Struthio camelus: one gene and its partner. The protein of the gene in region 2 interacts with the protein of the main gene of each other region in a pairwise test. Links are inferred from orthologs where the notes say so. Each region holds a gene or a part of one and is shown on either strand. Other genes may lie near its edges.

Evidence for each region. The genes of interacting proteins can lie anywhere in the genome.
Region 1: the proteins of EIF1AD (region 2) and STAT1 interact in binary tests that used the Homo sapiens proteins (3 or more experiments, as listed by UniProt). The two-hybrid records come from large-scale screens. The link is inferred for Struthio camelus from reciprocal best matches to the Homo sapiens genes EIF1AD and STAT1.

The regions. Positions count from the first base shown.
Region 1 is NC_090947.1:14,434,540-14,442,681, forward strand, and holds the start of STAT1 (signal transducer and activator of transcription 1-alpha/beta), read left to right. Parts: upstream 1-4,805; 5' UTR 4,806-4,987; intron 4,988-5,932; exon of another isoform or gene 5,933-6,005; intron 6,006-6,989; 5' UTR 6,990-6,990; coding exon 6,991-7,118; intron 7,119-7,775; coding exon 7,776-7,920; intron 7,921-8,142. Other genes in the region: STAT4 (signal transducer and activator of transcription 4), read left to right, coding at 1,506-1,532. UniProt on the Homo sapiens protein: Signal transducer and transcription activator that mediates cellular responses to interferons (IFNs), cytokine KITLG/SCF and other cytokines and other growth factors.
Region 2 is NC_090976.1:755,237-763,114, reverse strand, and holds the start of EIF1AD (probable RNA-binding protein EIF1AD), read left to right. Parts: upstream 1-4,315; 5' UTR 4,316-4,455; exon of another isoform or gene 4,456-4,462; intron 4,463-4,468; exon of another isoform or gene 4,469-4,578; 5' UTR 4,579-4,587; coding exon 4,588-4,674; intron 4,675-7,060; coding exon 7,061-7,169; intron 7,170-7,632; coding exon 7,633-7,741; intron 7,742-7,878. Other genes in the region: BANF1 (barrier-to-autointegration factor), read right to left, coding at 139-285, 2,103-2,228.

The DNA of each region.
Region 1 (8,142 bases), on a different chromosome or scaffold from region 2:
CAAGGCCTGAACTGGCCTAAATAATCATGGCTTAAAGTGGCACTAATTTATACCCACTGCGAATCTGTCCAGCAGAATTATATCAGGAAACACAGCAGTAGTTTGGCCTTAGCAGCTTTAAAAGAAAATATTGATTTTTTTTTTTTAATACTACATTTTAACTTTTAGTTTTTAATATATTCTATGATTTATGATCTTAAACTGGTTATGTATTTAAAAGCCTGTCAAATCACCTTCAAATACTTCTGTGTAAACATTTCTCCTCACTCCCAATAAAACAAACGATACACCAGAATCCTGACTAACAATTGTCTAATCAGTGCAGGAGGTATAAATAGCAAAAATTATTTGGCTGCACAATGAAACTTTAAGTATAAGTAGAGAAATTCTTTATTATAGAACAAACTGAAGAGCTGATTGCGTACCACACAATCTGAGACATGTCTTCACCCGTTTGTCATTTGTTTTATATCTATGAAAACAGTTCCGACTTTAGAAACTGCATTTGTGAACTATATGTATGTTTGCATTTCTTTAAGTTTTGGCAGTGAAAAGAATAGTTGGCTTCACTTTTGTTTATCATCAGGTACCAAGCATTTTCAGTTTCCTTTCGCATGCACAGGAATTCTCAAACCAGCTCTGTGAGGAGCTTCCAAACCACCAGCTGTGATCAGCACCATCTCTTGGGGTCACAAAAAGAAAGTGTTTGCTGCTGAGTTGGGAGAATCGAATGTAATCATGTTGCAATTTAAGGGTACTAGAGAAGTAGTTCAGTGCTGCCAGATGGTAGGTGGATTTCTGGAGGCTCTTGCTAGATACGTTTTCTTCTAATAATTAGGGGAGAAAATAGTCTTTGAAGATTTCAAGACAATTTTCTACTTTTTTTTTTTTCCATTACTCTGCTGAATGAAAATGAGGGAAATTTGGAGTTTTTTACTTTATTCATCTCAAATTCACACATGATGACCTCTGCTAGTGAGTAGCCGGCTAAGTTCAGTAAGCAGCCAGTTTGCATTATTAAAGCGACAGTGTCTCTTCACTTTTTCTCCATGAGATGTCAGTGAAAGAGATCACTGTCTGAGAGGCAGAGAACAAGAGTGAAAGCTGTGGCAGGAAAAAATATCTTACAACTCAGTGACTTGATCCTAGCAAGATATACTTTCTGCAGTCTTGTTGGATTCCCTTTCCATTCCCCTCCTCTAGATTCTCCTACCCATCTGGGAAATGGGACTCAGGAAAAACCTTGCTCTACATATCCATGGGCTACAAGAACCACAGAAGTTCATGTACTTTTATTGCAACTGTTCCCAATAAGTCTTTTCTAATGAATATTACTAGGTTTTGTGAGGGATTAGAAGGGGTATCTTCAGAGCCTTACAAGTTTTTATTAGAGTGTGCAAATGAGACTGCAATTACTTTGAGCCAGAGAGGGCTTGATTTGCAGTAACTTTTGAATGAGCAGCAGCAACTGTCTTGAGGCTGATATTTTTATTCTTTTCTTCTAGCTGAGTTCTCCTTATTCAACTGACTGAAGTTCAGGTACTGGAAAAACAAAGAATCATGTGGACACTGCATGGGTTAAATGAAGTCAATATTTATCATCTTTGTAAATTACCATTTCCTGAAAATGATTGTGATGCTATTCTTGGGCCTTGTTCTGCTTTCAAATACAAGTAAACCAAGAATCTTCTCTGTAGAGTCAGTGGGATTATAAATAGCTTCCTGGAATTCAGAATTGCCATCTTCGCTGATAGAAGGCCAAATCCTTTCTGGCTTCTAGGTCCTTTGACTTCTGTGGGGTCCAGTAGGCACAAATTTGACTTGTAAAATAAACGGCTGTAGGATTGCTGTAAATATGACATTATAAGAAAATGTTTTGCTTCTGAGAACCACCTGAAAGCAGCCTATGGGGATAACTAAAGAGATTAAGGTTTGGGTGGATTAGGATTTCTTCTGCCAAACAGCTTCTATTATACTGTTGGTTTGACTTCTATTTTAAAGAGAAGATTCTCATCCCTCTGAGTTTGATTGTCCCAAAGGTATCTGGGGTTTGTTTTTTCTAGAGATGAACCACCTTCAGCACAGAGGGCCAGAGGTTTTTATCCCACCACAGCAAAAGCCATGGAAGGGAGGAAGGCAAGGCTGGGAAGAGAAGGGAGTTCTAGAAAGTGAACGGACACAAAACTTGGAGTCAAAAAAGCGCTCTGTCTCCATTTTACACCTGGAAGACAGGATTAGTAAAACCTCCCCCTCTCACAGGATAGTTGCAGAGGTAAATCGATTGGTGTGAAGCACTCAGATACTATTGTAAGCACTATCAGGAAGCCTACAAAGAAAATCCTGATCTGGCGCAGTATTTGGATGCTATCTGGTAAGATGCAGACTAGGAAGCACAGTTTGAAAAAATAATTACTGAAGAACTGCGTCATTTGCTGACCACGGGGCAACCTGCAATAGATGATGGAGTGTCACATGCCAGGGGGAGGCTCCTTTAATAAACAGAGTAACTAGTTTTTAAATAAATGGTAAATTGCCTTTTAAAAACATTCTTCTTTCTTGCAGTCACAGTTTAACTTTCTTTTTTCAATATTATCCCTAAAAAAGCCTGTTTATAGAATAATAAACTGGCAATTCTGTGGTCTCTGTCTTTCAAGTATACAGGCTCATTGAATGGCAACTGTATATATAGTTTGGTAACCTCTGTAATTTATATGACTGATATGAATAAAAACAAATATCGGCTTAAAGTTACCTGGTCTTTTGTGGAATTTTTCAAGGTGCATTGAAAACAGAGGCTTGCTTTCTCCTTGCGGATCTTAAATCTAAACTACAAGCAGTAACGTGGACTTCTAAAGTAGCAAACATAACTTCACCTAGCATCAACTACTGTATGATTTTTCATTCTAATCTGTTCTCGCAATTTTAATCCAAAAAAAATGGGAAATGTGCTATACTTTTGATCACTGGAATAGTGTGAAAAGTACTGTGAAAAAGTCTAGTGGTCCAAATGTCACATGTGAACCAATCTTCTCTTCTCTCCTTCCTCCTTGCCCCCCATGCAGTGCAATTATCTGGCTTGACTTGAACTCAGCACTTTTTATGTTACTGGATAGGACTGAGGATCAGGTTTTGGCATTACTATTTTCGTTGTCCTTTTAAAAATTTTGCAAAAGGCAGCTTTAACATTTCATTGGAATGCATGCAATTTCAATTCAGTTCACTGCTTTTAAGAAACACAGAAGTCATCTTCTATAAGATAAACATCTTAAGCCAAAGCCTTCTTCCATAAAAAGGAAGACTTTTGTCCTTAAGTCAGTATGAGTAAGATTAGGGCTCTAATAAAATAGAATGAGAAAATGTTGAAAATTACATTCTTGGATACTGACAGAAAAGATGAAACATGTGCTTTCAAGTGCTTTCACCATGTTTTGCAGCTGCAAAGTCAAAAACAACAGGAAAAAAAAATCACTAAGTGCTTTGTGTTTGACCACATCACCATGATTCAAGTTAAACGAAAACTGCTAGTTACCATCAACTATAGCATTAAAAATCTGTACACAGTACTTGGTACGATTTAAGACTTCATATCATTTCCTCCATTTTGAGGAGAAAGGGATCCAAACTAAGCCAGAAAAAGGTCTGCGCCGCTGGAGACCGGCGCCACAGCCTGAGCTGCGGTTGTAACCGGTCAGAAACAAACGAGACCCGGCACGACCGGGGGGAGCAGTGCAGTCCTAACAGACAAAACGGCTCGCACAGAGAGGGGCACGAGGAAAGGAAAACTGCCAAAACAATTCATTGGGGGGGGGGGAGGGGGGGAGAGCGGGGAATCCCAACCGGCAACATATCCGGAAAGATTATAAACACTCTTTTGTTTGCAGCTCTCATTCTTAAAAGTCACTGCAACTTAGATAGGAAACTGGGCTGCAGTTCATAAACTGACTGCCTTTCTACCAGACCTGTGCCAGTTACGTTCGTTTCTTCCACGAAGAGACGGACGAGACCGTTGCCCTTCCGCCGGCTCGGCCGGCCGCCCGCCGCCGCCGCCGCTCCTTTCGCTTTCGCCTTCCCCTCAGCCGGCCCGTTCCCCGAAATCACGTGACGCGGCTGTTCCCGGGCCTCGCTGCCCCCCCCCGCCGCGGGGAGCCGCGCCTGCGCTCTGGCGCGCGCCCGGCCGGGGGCCGTTGGTAACGGCCGCCCTCTCCCCCCCCCCCCCCAAGGAGGCGGATGCACACGCGTTCCGTGTCGGAACTTGGGTCGGGGTCAGTTTTACACTCTTTCCTCCTAGGACAGGGGCTGTCTTTTCCTACAGCCTGTTACTCCCGACACCTAACCTTCCTTCCTGTTGGCCACCTTTCCTGCAGTATCATTTGCTTCTCTTCCCCGTGTTATATTTACTCATGCGGGTTTCCGTAGGCATCGCGCACCTTTTCGTTCCTTGCTCCTAGCTGGCATATTCTCTCACATATATCCAGCTACGCTTCTAAACTTTTTTTTTTGTGCTAATATTCTTTGCAAAAGCTAGAAATCAAGAAAAATGCAGGCCTGTGCCCTAGAATGACGTTGCGCGCGGTATTTCTGCTTCATCTACTATTGGCAACGTCATTGCTGCTCCATCACACAGCAAGCGGTCGAAACCTCGGCGCATTTGGTGTTTGGCCCGCAGATTGGGCATAGTTCTGCACAGGTAGTCGGCTGGCCAGGCACCCGGACGACAGCCGTCAGGGCGGCAGCGCCCGGCCCGGCCCAGGCCGGGGTGGCGGGGGAGCCGCCCCGGGACCGCCCTGCCTCCCCGCTGCGAGAGCGAGAGGGCAAGGGCAGGGGGCGGGGCGGGGCGAGCGCGGCGGCACCGCGAGCCCATTGGCCGGGGCGGCGAAAGCGAGGCTCCCATTGGCTCTCGGGCGGGCCGTGGGGCTGCGGCTTTGCGAGTATTTCTCGGTACGGGTGGCCGTCGCGGTGCAGAGCTGGAGCGCAGCCTCGTCTTCGAGTAAGTGTGCGCGTGCGGGCCAACGGCCGCGGGGGAGGGGGGTCGCGCGAGAAGGGGGCTACTGCCGCCGCTGCCCCCCGGCCCGCGGTGGGGGGGGGGGATGGAGGGGGGTGCAGGCTCCCAGCCAGCCGGGACGGCTGCCCTGCGCTCGGCCCCCCATCTGCGAGCGCCTGCTTCGCTGGCCGTCAGCCGGAGAGCCAGAAACGATACTAAACATGAGTTGTGACAAGGCGAGCGCGGCGCCCGGCGAGGAGGGGGCGAAGCCCTGTCGCCTCGCAGCGGGAGCGGGCGGCTGCCGGCGGGACACGAAGCCGCACACAGCGGCGGGGGCTGCCGGGGAGACAGGGCCCTGCTGCCCGCAGAGAGGCACGCCGGCTGCCCTTGGGTCACCCTGACCGCCCCGGGGGAGGTGAAGCAGCAAAGCAGCCTTTCCTCCCTGCCAGTTTGCCAGGGCCGGCCTGAGCCCCCCTGCCCTGCCCTGCCACGGGTCTCGCTAACCGTTTCTCCCCGAGCGGTACCGACTTCCTCCCCGCGTGAGCGTTTCCCTGCTCGCCTCTCCAAGGATCACGCCTGCTACGTGATCACGTTGCTCTGTAACCCCCAATTCAGAGGGTTCTCCGCCAGGCTTCCCAAGCCCCTGTCCAATGTGGTTGCTTTAAGACACAGGAGGATTAGAGTACCTTATAGCAGTATTTAAGCAGTGCTTTTAAAAAGAAAGAAAGAAAAAAAACTTTGTGCATTTGGATACCCCCTTCCAGCTTTCCTCACCAGTATCATGCTTTAATTGTTGGCCTTGGTGCCACTACAGTATATTCAAATTAACTACAGTATATTCAAACTAACTGCTGTGTTTTCTAGAGTTGGAATCTTGCCCACACCAAAAAGCCCCAAAGCCCTTACTTTAAACATCATAGCATTTTTTACCTTACACTTGCTCTCGCATAGGCTATATGCAACTCTACAGTTGAGGGATCTGGCATACAAACACTAATGGATTTGGCAACAGCCCATACACAAGGTACTGCTTCACCCCCGAGTGTACATTGTCCTTTGGATAAGTCTTATCACCTTTTTGAAGAGGTTGCAGATGCAAGCGGGGTTACATGTCTCCACCTGAGCCTGACAGCTATTCCCTGGACATATCTTTACCTGCCACTACTGCAAGACACTAACCTGCAGACCAGAAAGGAGGAGATAACTGCTTTCCAGCAAGAGTCCATACATCAGAGCTAACAGCCACTCTATAACAACTCTTAACTGCGCAGCATGGCTTCTCTCAGTCATACTAGTTAATTCTAGATAACCCATGTCTACTGCAGAGACTTGAATTTAGCCTGAAAATCTGATCATAACTACTAAAGCATAATACAAAGAGAATATCTTTCAAATACGTCTCCATTTAAAGCAACCTGAGGTCTAGGCCATTTTCAGAGCAGGTAGGTAGAGACACATGTAGTACCTGAAAGTGAGCCCCTAGAAGTTTCTTTACTTTTCCAGTTACTTCTTCCACCTCTGGGGATTGGCAGGGACAATATCTGCACAGATGAAAATGGGATCTTGATCCTACCGAGTACAGGTACAGGGCACATAGCTGCTCATACATATTTAGGGATATACCCCCTTAACAGGGGGTAAGGAAGAAAGAAAGAATAGAGAATAACACTACTAGTACCCTAAGTGCTGTGAACATGGATTCAAAGGAAAAAAGAAATGCAAGTTTCCATAAAACGTGATTGAACTTTGACTTACTTGTCATGAAATAGTATGGTGACTGTCTTAATTTGCTGTATTTTTTTTAAATTAAAATGGGCATGGAAAAATTGTATTCAGTTTGATGAGTAGCTTTCTCTTGTTACATCTAAAAACCTATGTTTTTACTGAAAACACTTTTCCTTCCTGCTCATCCAATTTTACCATTTTTAATGAGAACTTTAAATGAGTGACTTTTCACTAGCTAAGTCCAAATATTAATTATTTACATTGATTTATTTTTTTTCCCTAGGATGACTCAGTGGTATCAGCTGCAGCAACTTGATTCCAAGTTTTTGGAGCAAGTTCACCAGCTGTATGATGACAGCTTTCCTATGGAAATTAGACAGTACCTAGCTCAGTGGCTGGAAAACCAAGACTGGTAAGCCTGAAGGACAGTGGTGATGTGCATAGAAACTGGCCTTCAGGTTACATGACAAGCAGTGCTCTCATGCGGAGTCACAGGCAGCAAAAAAGTTCTGGGGAAGCAAGCTGCTAGGTAGACCTATGCTGGCAAGGACGTTCAGTAGCTATATCTCTGCTAGTCCATGTTCCCGTCCCTCTTCAGGGCTTTCGAGAGGGGCCTGATGTTTAGACTAAGTATATTATCCTATTTTTCCTTTGGTTGGTCTGTCATGGAAGCAGCCATTTTAAGAAAGACCTGTTACCTTGGTGTCTTAGTCTCTCGCTAGTTGCTGGCTTTAAACATTTACCAAGATGTTTATGGAGCGTCTTCTTATAGGACTGTGGTACAACATGCACATGCATCAAGTTCACTTTAGGCTTCCTGATGTTCATGGAACGGGTAAATGAAGTTAAGACGGTATGTGGTGAGAATACTATAGAGGAAAAGACAGCATTTCTTTATCACAGAAAATGAGATTAGAAGGGAATGAAAGTGGGTTACCTTTACAAGTAATTCTTACTGCTTGCAAACTACAACTGGAGTCAGGGAGAAAAACATGTAGTACACCACTTTGTGTTTCTTGAGTACCTGCTGAAAGTGTATTTAACATAAGCATGCCTTAAATTATTCCAGGGAACATGCAGCCAACAACGTATCTTTTGCTACAGTGCTATTCCATGACCTGCTGTCACAGCTTGATGATCAGTTTAGTCGATTTTTGATAGAAAACAACTTCTTGCTGCAACACAACATAAGGAAAAGCAAACGTAATCTTCAGGTAGGCCTGGGACATATGCCTGTACATTTGCTTGAATTGTTTCAGTTTTACAATTGGATCCCTCTAAGACTACCTTGACATGAGGTATTTTTACACAGTATTTGTGAGAAACCTAATTTAAGAAGTCAGAATTTAAACATTACTCTGTTTTGGTTTTATTTGTCTACAGTTCAACTGTTTTTGAGATCTCTAGAAATAAAAAGTTAAGTTGTACTTTGTAAG
Region 2 (7,878 bases):
GCGAGACTCCCAGAGTGGCTTTCGGGGAGATCTGCGGGCACCTGGGAGGAGGTTCGGGGGCCCCGGGGGGGAGGTTTGGGGGGGAGCCCCGGGGTGGGGGGGGCAGCAGGGGGGAGGTTTCGGGGGGCTTGGGGGGGCTCAGAGGAAGGCGTCGCACCACTCGCGCAGGCAGCCCGAGCAGTCGCGCGACTGCTTGGCGTTGGCGCCGCACGTGTCCTTGAGCCACTCGCGGAAAAGCTCCTCGTCCTTCTTGAGCACCAGGAACTGGCCCAGCACCACGTAGGCCTGGCGGGGGGGGGACAGGCGTCACGGGCGGGGGGCACCCTGCCTCTTGGGGACACCCTGGGGACACCCCCTGGGGACACCCCGGCGTGCTAGGGACACCTTGACACCCCTTGGGGACACCCCGACACCCCCTGGGGACACCCCGACACCTCCTGGGGACACCCCGACATGCTAGGGACACTTTGACACCCCCTGGGGACACCCCGACACCCCCTGGGGACACCCCGGCATGCTAGGGACACCTTGACACCCCCTGGGGACACCCTGACACCCCCTGGGGACACCCTGGGGACACCCTGACACCCCTGGGGACACCCCGACACCCCCTGGGGACACCCCGGCATGCTAGGGACACTTAAACACCCCCTGGGGACACCCCGACACCCCCTGGGGACACCCCGGCATGCTAGGGACACTTCGACACCCCCTGGGGACACCCTGGGGACACCCCGGCACGCTAGGAACACTTTGACACCCCCTGGGGACACCCCAACACGCTAGGGACACCCCGACACCCCCTGGGGACACCGCCTGGGGACACCCTGACATGCTAGGGACACCTCAACACCCCCTGGGGACACCCTGACACGCTAGGGACACCCCGACACCCCCTGGGAACACCCCGACGCCCCCCCCAGGGACACCCTGACACCCCAAAGACATCTTGGGGACACCCTGACAGCCCCCAGGGACACCCTGGGGACCCTCTGACGCTCAGGACACCCCTCCGCGCCTCGCGCGTCCCCAATAGCAGCCAACGTCCCCCACTGGTGTCCCCAACCTCACCCCCCCCCACGTCTCTGCAATGTCCCCGATGTCCTCGCAGTGGCCCCGAGGGTGACCCCAGGGTGGCCCTGCGGTGTCCCCACCTCTGCGTCCCCACAGTGGCCCCAAGGGCGTCCCCGTGGTGTCCCCAGGGTGGCCCCGCGGTGTCCCCACCTTGTTGAAGTCCTTCTCCTCCAACTTCTTGCCCAGCACGTCCCCGATGCCGGCCAGCGTCCCCAGCGGTGTCCCCAACCCCACAGCCGCCCCCCACGGTCCCCGTGGTGTCCCCAGGGTGTCCCCGCGGTGTCCCCAGGGTGTCCCCACCTTGTCGAAGCCCTTCTCCTCCAGCTTCTTGCCCAGCACGTCCCCGATGCCGGCCAGCGTCCCCAGCGGTGTCCCCAACCCCACAGCCACCCCCCACGGTCCCCGTGGTGTCCCCAGGGTGTCCCCGCGGTGTCCCCACCTTGTCGAAGCCCTTCTCCTCCAGCTTCTTGCCCAGCACGTCCCCGATGCCGGCCAGCGTCCCCAGCGGTGTCCCCAACCCCACAGCCGCCCCCCACGGTCCCCGTGGTGTCCCCAGGGTGTCCCCGCGGTGTCCCCAGGGCGTCCCCGCGGTGTCCCCACCTTGTCGAAGCCCTTCTCCTCCAGCTTCTTGCCCAGCACGTCCCCGATGCCGGCCAGCGTCCCCAGCGGTGTCCCCAACCCCACAGCCACCCCCCACGGTCCCCGTGGTGTCCCCAGGGTGTCCCCGCGGTGTCCCCACCTTGTCGAAGCCCTTCTCCTCCAGCTTCTTGCCCAGCACGTCCCCGATGCCGGCCAGCGTCCCCAGCGGTGTCCCCAACCCCACAGCCGCCCCCCACGGTCCCCGTGGTGTCCCCAGGGTGTCCCCGCGGTGTCCCCACCTTGTCGAAGCCCTTCTCCTCCAGCTTCTTGCCCAGCACGTCCCCGATGCCGGCCAGCGTCCCCAGCGGTGTCCCCAACCCCACAGCCACCCCCCACGGTCCCCGTGGTGTCCCCAGGGTGTCCCCGCGGTGTCCCCAGGGTGTCCCCACCTTGTCGAAGCCCTTCTCCTCCAGCTTCTTGCCCAGCACGTCCCCGATGCCGGCCAGCGTCCCCACCGGCTTCTCGCCCATGGGCTCCGCCACGAAGTCCCGGTGCTTCTGCGACGTCGAGGACATCTCGGCTCGCCCTGCCGGCGGGGGGGGGGACACAGACGGTGCCACCGCGTTGGGGACGGGGGGGGGGGGATGGGACGGCCCCCAGGAGCGACGGGGACAGACCGCGGGGGGGGGGGGGTGACGCGGGGACGCGGATGGTGACAGGGACCGGGCAGCTCGGGGGGGGGGGGGGGGACAATGTGGGGACAGCGGCAGCCCCGGGGGGGGGGACAAAGGTGCCCCCGGGGCTGGAGGAGGCAGCGTTGTCCCCTCTCCCCCCCCCCCACCCCGTGCAGGGGCCCAGGCGATCCTGACCCTCCCCCCCCCCAGCAGGGGCCCAGGCGATCCCGCCCCTCCCCCGGCTATAAATACCCCAGCGCAGCTGCAGCAGGGGCCCCGGGGGGGGGGCACAAACAGCCCCCCCCGAGACTCCCTGGGAGCCCCCCGAAACCCATGGGACCCCCCCAAGAGCCCCCTCAAGCCCCAGAGACCCCCCAAAGACCCCCAGAGCCCCCCCGGACCCATAGACACCCCAAAAACTGCCCTACAACCCCTCCAGCCCCACAGACCGCCCCCAAGAAGTCCCCCACAGCCCCATAGGCTTCCGCAATCACCATAGACCCCCACAGACCCCCCCAAAGACCCCCGAGAACCCCCTCCAGCCTCATAGACCCCCCCAAGAACCCCCCAGAGCCCCCTCAACCCCATAGATCCCCCTAAGGACCCCCCAGAGCCCCTTCCAGCCCCATTGACCCCCTAAAGACACCCCAGAGCCCCCTCAGCCCCACAGACCCCCCTAAGCACCGCCCAGAGCCTCCTCTAGCCCCATTGACCCCCCCCAAAAGACCACTCAGAGATTCCTCAGCCCCATAGACCCCCTCAAGGACCCTCCAGAGCCCCCTATAGCCCCACACCCCCCCAAGGACCCTCCAGAGCCCCCTACAGCCCCCCAGACCTCCCTAGGCACCCCCCAGAGCCCCCCAAAGCCCCATAGACCCCCCTAAGGACCCTCCAGAGCCCCCTCCAGCCCCATAGACCCCCCTAAGCACCCCCAGAGCCCCCTCAACCCCATAGAACCCCCCTAAGCACCCCCAGAGCCCCCTCAACCCCATAGACCCCCCCAAGAATCCCCCAGAGCCCCCTCAACCCCATAGAACCCCCCTAAGCACCCCCCAGGTCCCCCTCCAGCCCCATAGATCCCCCTAAGGACCCTCCAGAGCCCCCTCCAGCCCCATAGACCCCCCTAAGCACCCCCAGAGCCCCCTCAGCCCCATAGAACCCCCTAAGCACCCCCCAGGTCCCCCTCCAGCCCCATAGATCCCCCTAAGGACCCTCCAGAGCCCCCTCCAGCCCCATAGACCCCCCTAAGCACCCCCAGAGCCCCCTCAACCCCATAGAACCCCCTAAGCACCCCCCAGGTCCCCCTCCAGCCCCATAGATCCCCCTAAGGACCCTCCAGAGCCTCCTCCAGCCCCATAGACCCTCCCTAAGCACCCCCCAGAACCCCCCAAAGCCCCATAGACCCCCTAAGAACACCCCAGAGCCCCCTCAACCCCCATAGACCACCCCAAGGACCTCCCAGAGCTCTCTCAGCCCCATAGATCCCCCCAAGGACCCCTCAGAGCTCCCTCAGCCCCATTAGACCCCCCTAAGGACCCCCCAGAGCCCCCTACAGCCCCATAGACCCCCCCTAAGGACCCCCAGAGCCCCCTCAACCCCATAGACCCCCCCCAAAGACCCCCTAAGCTCCCTCAGCCCCATAGACCCCTCCAAGGACCCTCCAGAGCCCCCTACAGCCCCAGAGCCCTCCCCAGCTCCCCACACGCACCTCCCAAGCCCTAAAGACCCCCCCCAGGGAGCCTCCGGACCCCCCCCCGCCCTCACCGGCGCCGCCCGCCGCTGTCAACCGCCGCTCCCGCCCAACTGGCCGCTGCGCGCGCCTGCGCGCTGCCGTCACTTCCGGCCACGCCGGAAGTGCACCCGCCGCCGGCGACCGCTCTAGGCGCGCCCGGAAGCGACCATAGAGAGGCGGCGGCTGCCTAGCAACGCGGTCGCCGCGGGCGCTCTAGGGCGACGGCGCCGCGACTCTGTGGTGCGCGGCGCCGCTCTAGCCCGCGGGAGGTTCCCGCGGCGAGACGCAGCGGCCTGTCAGAAACCACCATAGAGAGGAGGACCGGGGGGGAGGAGCCGGTGTCTCCGGAAGTGACGCCAGAGGGCGGTGCACCCGGAAGTGGCGGACTCCCATGCGGTGAGAGGTGGGAAGCGGCGGGGCGCGGCGGGAGGGGGGCAGCCCGGACGCCTGGGCCCCCCCGCCGCTACTGGGGCGGGGGAGGGGGACAGAGGAGGGACCCAGGCGTCCCGGCGGGCCCAGGCGTCCGGCATGTCGCAGGCCACCAAGCGGAAGCACGTGGCGCGGGAGGTGCTGGACGAGCGGGTGGTGCCGTCGCCGCGACAGCGCATCGTGCGGGTGAGCGGGGGGGGGGGGGACCCGGGGGGACCCGGGGGGGTGGGGACACGGGGAGGGACACGGGGATCCGGGGGGACCCGGGGGGACATAGGGGGACCCGGGGGGTGAGGACACGGGGGGGGACACGGGGACCCGGGGGGACCCGGGGGGACATAGGGAGACCCGGGGGGGTGAGGACACGGGGGGGGACACGGGGACCCGGGGGGACATAGGGGGACCCGGGGGGTGAGGACACGGGGGGACCCAGGGCGACATAGGGGGACCTGGGGGGACACAGGGGGATGAGGACACGGGGGGGGACACGGTGGGACATAGGGGGACCCGGGGGGACCCGGGGGGACACGGGGGGGGTGAGGACATGGGGGGACACGGGGGGGGGGTGAGGACATGGGGGGACACCAGGGGACCCGGGGGGGTGGGGACACCGGAGGGACACGAGGGGACCTGGGGGGGACACGGTGGGACATAGGGGGACACGGGGGGGGACGGGGGGACCCGGGGGGTGAGGACACCAGGGGACCTGGGGGGACAGGGCGGGACATGGGGGGGGGTGAGGACATGGGGACGGACAAGGCGGGACGGGGGGGGACACGGCAGGATATGGGAGGATGAGGACACGAAGGGACACGGGAGGGGACACGGGGGGACCTGGGGCCACGGCAGGACACGGGGTGAGGACATGGGGGGACCCGGGGGGGGGGGACACGAGGGGACCCAGGGACATGGGGACACGGGGAGGATGGGGACACCTGGGGGGACCTGGGGTGGGGACACCCGGGGGGGGCCAGGGGGACCTGGGGGTGTTGGGGACACAGAGGAGCACACAAGGGGACATGGCAGGACACAGGGACACGGTGGGGGGACCCGGGGGGACATGGGGGGACACGGCATGGGGGACACGCAGGAGAACACAAGGGGACACAGGGACACGGGGGGGTGGGGACACGCAGCGGGGACACACGGGAGATGGGGAGACGGGGGGGGGTCTTGAGAGGGGACATGAGGGGACCTGGGGGGGGGAATGGGGGCACCTGGGGGGGGGGACACGAGGGGACCCGGGGATATTAGGGGACTTGGGGACACAAGAGGACCCAGGGATGTGGTAGAGCAACAAAAAGGACATGGGGACACTTGGGGGGGGGCACCTGGGGGCAGGGACACCGTGGGTGGGGGTTGGGGGGGGGACACAGGGACCCAGGAGAGTCAGGGGGACCCAGGGGGGACATGGGGGGGCACAGAGAGACATGGGGACAGGGACACCTTGGGCGGGGGGACACAGGGACCCAGGAGAGTCAGGGGGACCCAGGGGGGACGTGGGGGGGCACCCCAGGGACACCTGGGGGGGGGACACAGGGACCCAGGAGAGTCAGGGGGACCCAGGGGGGACATGGGGGGGCACAGAGAGACATGGGGACAGGGACACCTTGGGCGGGGGGACACAGGGACCCAGGAGAGTCAGGGGGACCCAGGGGGGACGTGGGGGGGCACCCCAGGGACACCTGGGGGGGGGGACACAGGGACCCAGGAGAGTCAGGGGGGACCCAGGGGGGACATGGGGGGCACGGAGAGACATGGGGACAGGGACACCTTGGGGGGGGGGACACAGGGACCCAGGAGAGTCAGGGGGGACCCAGGGGGGACATGGGGGGGCACAGAGAGACATGGGGACAGGGACACCTTGGGGGGGGGGGGGACACAGGGACCCAGGAGAGTCAGGGGGACCCGGGGGGGGCATGGGGGGCACGGAGAGACATGGGGACAAGGACACCTTGGGGGGGGGACACAGGGACCCAGGAGAGTCAGGGGGACCCAGAGGGAACATGGGGGGGGCACCCCAGGGACACCTGGGGGGGGGGGACACAGGGACCCAGGAGAGTCAGGGGGGACCCGGGGGGGACATGGGGGGCACGGAGAGACATGGGGACAGGGACACCTGGGGGGGGGGACACAGGGACCCAGGAGAGTCAGGGGGACCCGGGGGGGGCACAGAGAGACATGGGGACAAGGACACCTTGGGGGGGGACACAGGGACCCAGGAGAGTCAGGGGGACCCAGAGGGAACATGGGGGGGGCACCCCAGGGACACCTGGGGGGGGGACACAGGGACCCAGGAGAGTCAGGGGGGACCCGGGGGGGACATGGGGGGCACGGAGAGACATGGGGACAGGGACACCTGGGGGGGGGAACCCAGGGACCCAGGAGGGACGGGGACACCCAGGGGGGACATGGGGACACAGGGACATTTGGTGGTGGTGGGGAAAGACCACCTGGGGACACCCAGGGACATGGAGGAGGGGGCACAGGAGGGACAAGGGGCCACCCAGGGGACACGGAGGGGGTCTGGGGGACGCTGCGGTCCCCGACGTGTCCCCCCCCCCCTCCCCAGGTGCTGGGGACGCCGGGGAACAACCTGCACGAGGTGGAGACGGCCGAGGGCGCCCGCTTCCTCGTCAGCATGCCGCCCAAGTTCCGCCGCCACATCTGGATCAAGAGAGGTCCCCAACGCGTCCCCGACGCGTCCCCAACGCGTCCCCTCGCAGCCACCCGGCCCCCTACGCGCTCCCCGGCCCGGTCCCTTCGCGCCCGCGCAGCTCAACGCGGCCCTTCGCGCCCGCGCGCCTCCGCCGCTGCGTCCCCGCCGTGTCACCTCCCGCCCCGGGTGGCCCCGGCGTGTCCCCAAGGTGTCCCCTCCTGGCTCCGTCACCCGCCGCGGGTCACCTTGCGCTCCTCTGTCTCCAACGCGTCCCCAACGTATCTGCTCCTGCCGTGCCCCCCCCCGATACGTCCCCGACGCGTCCCCAGTGTGTCACCTCCTGGCTTTGTCACCGCGGCGCGTCCCCAAGGGATGCTGTCCTGGTCACGCCACCCCAGCGTGGTCCCGACGTGTCCCCCCAACGCCTCCCCTCGCGGCCCCGGCGTGTCCCCAACGTGTCCCCTCTTGCCCCCCCCCCCCCGCAGGTGACTTCCTGCTGGTGGACCCCATCGAGGAGGGCGAGAAGGTGAAGGCCGAGATGCGCCTCGTCCTCTTCCGCGACCACGTCCGCTTCCTGCAGCGCCAGGGGCTCTGGTACCTGCCCCCCCCCCCGGGACCCCCAACCCCCCTGGGGACCCCCCAAAACTTCTCAGTCACCCCCTAACCCCCCCCAGGACCCCCAACCCCCCTGGGGACCCCCCAAAACTTCTCAGTCACCCCCTAACCCCCCC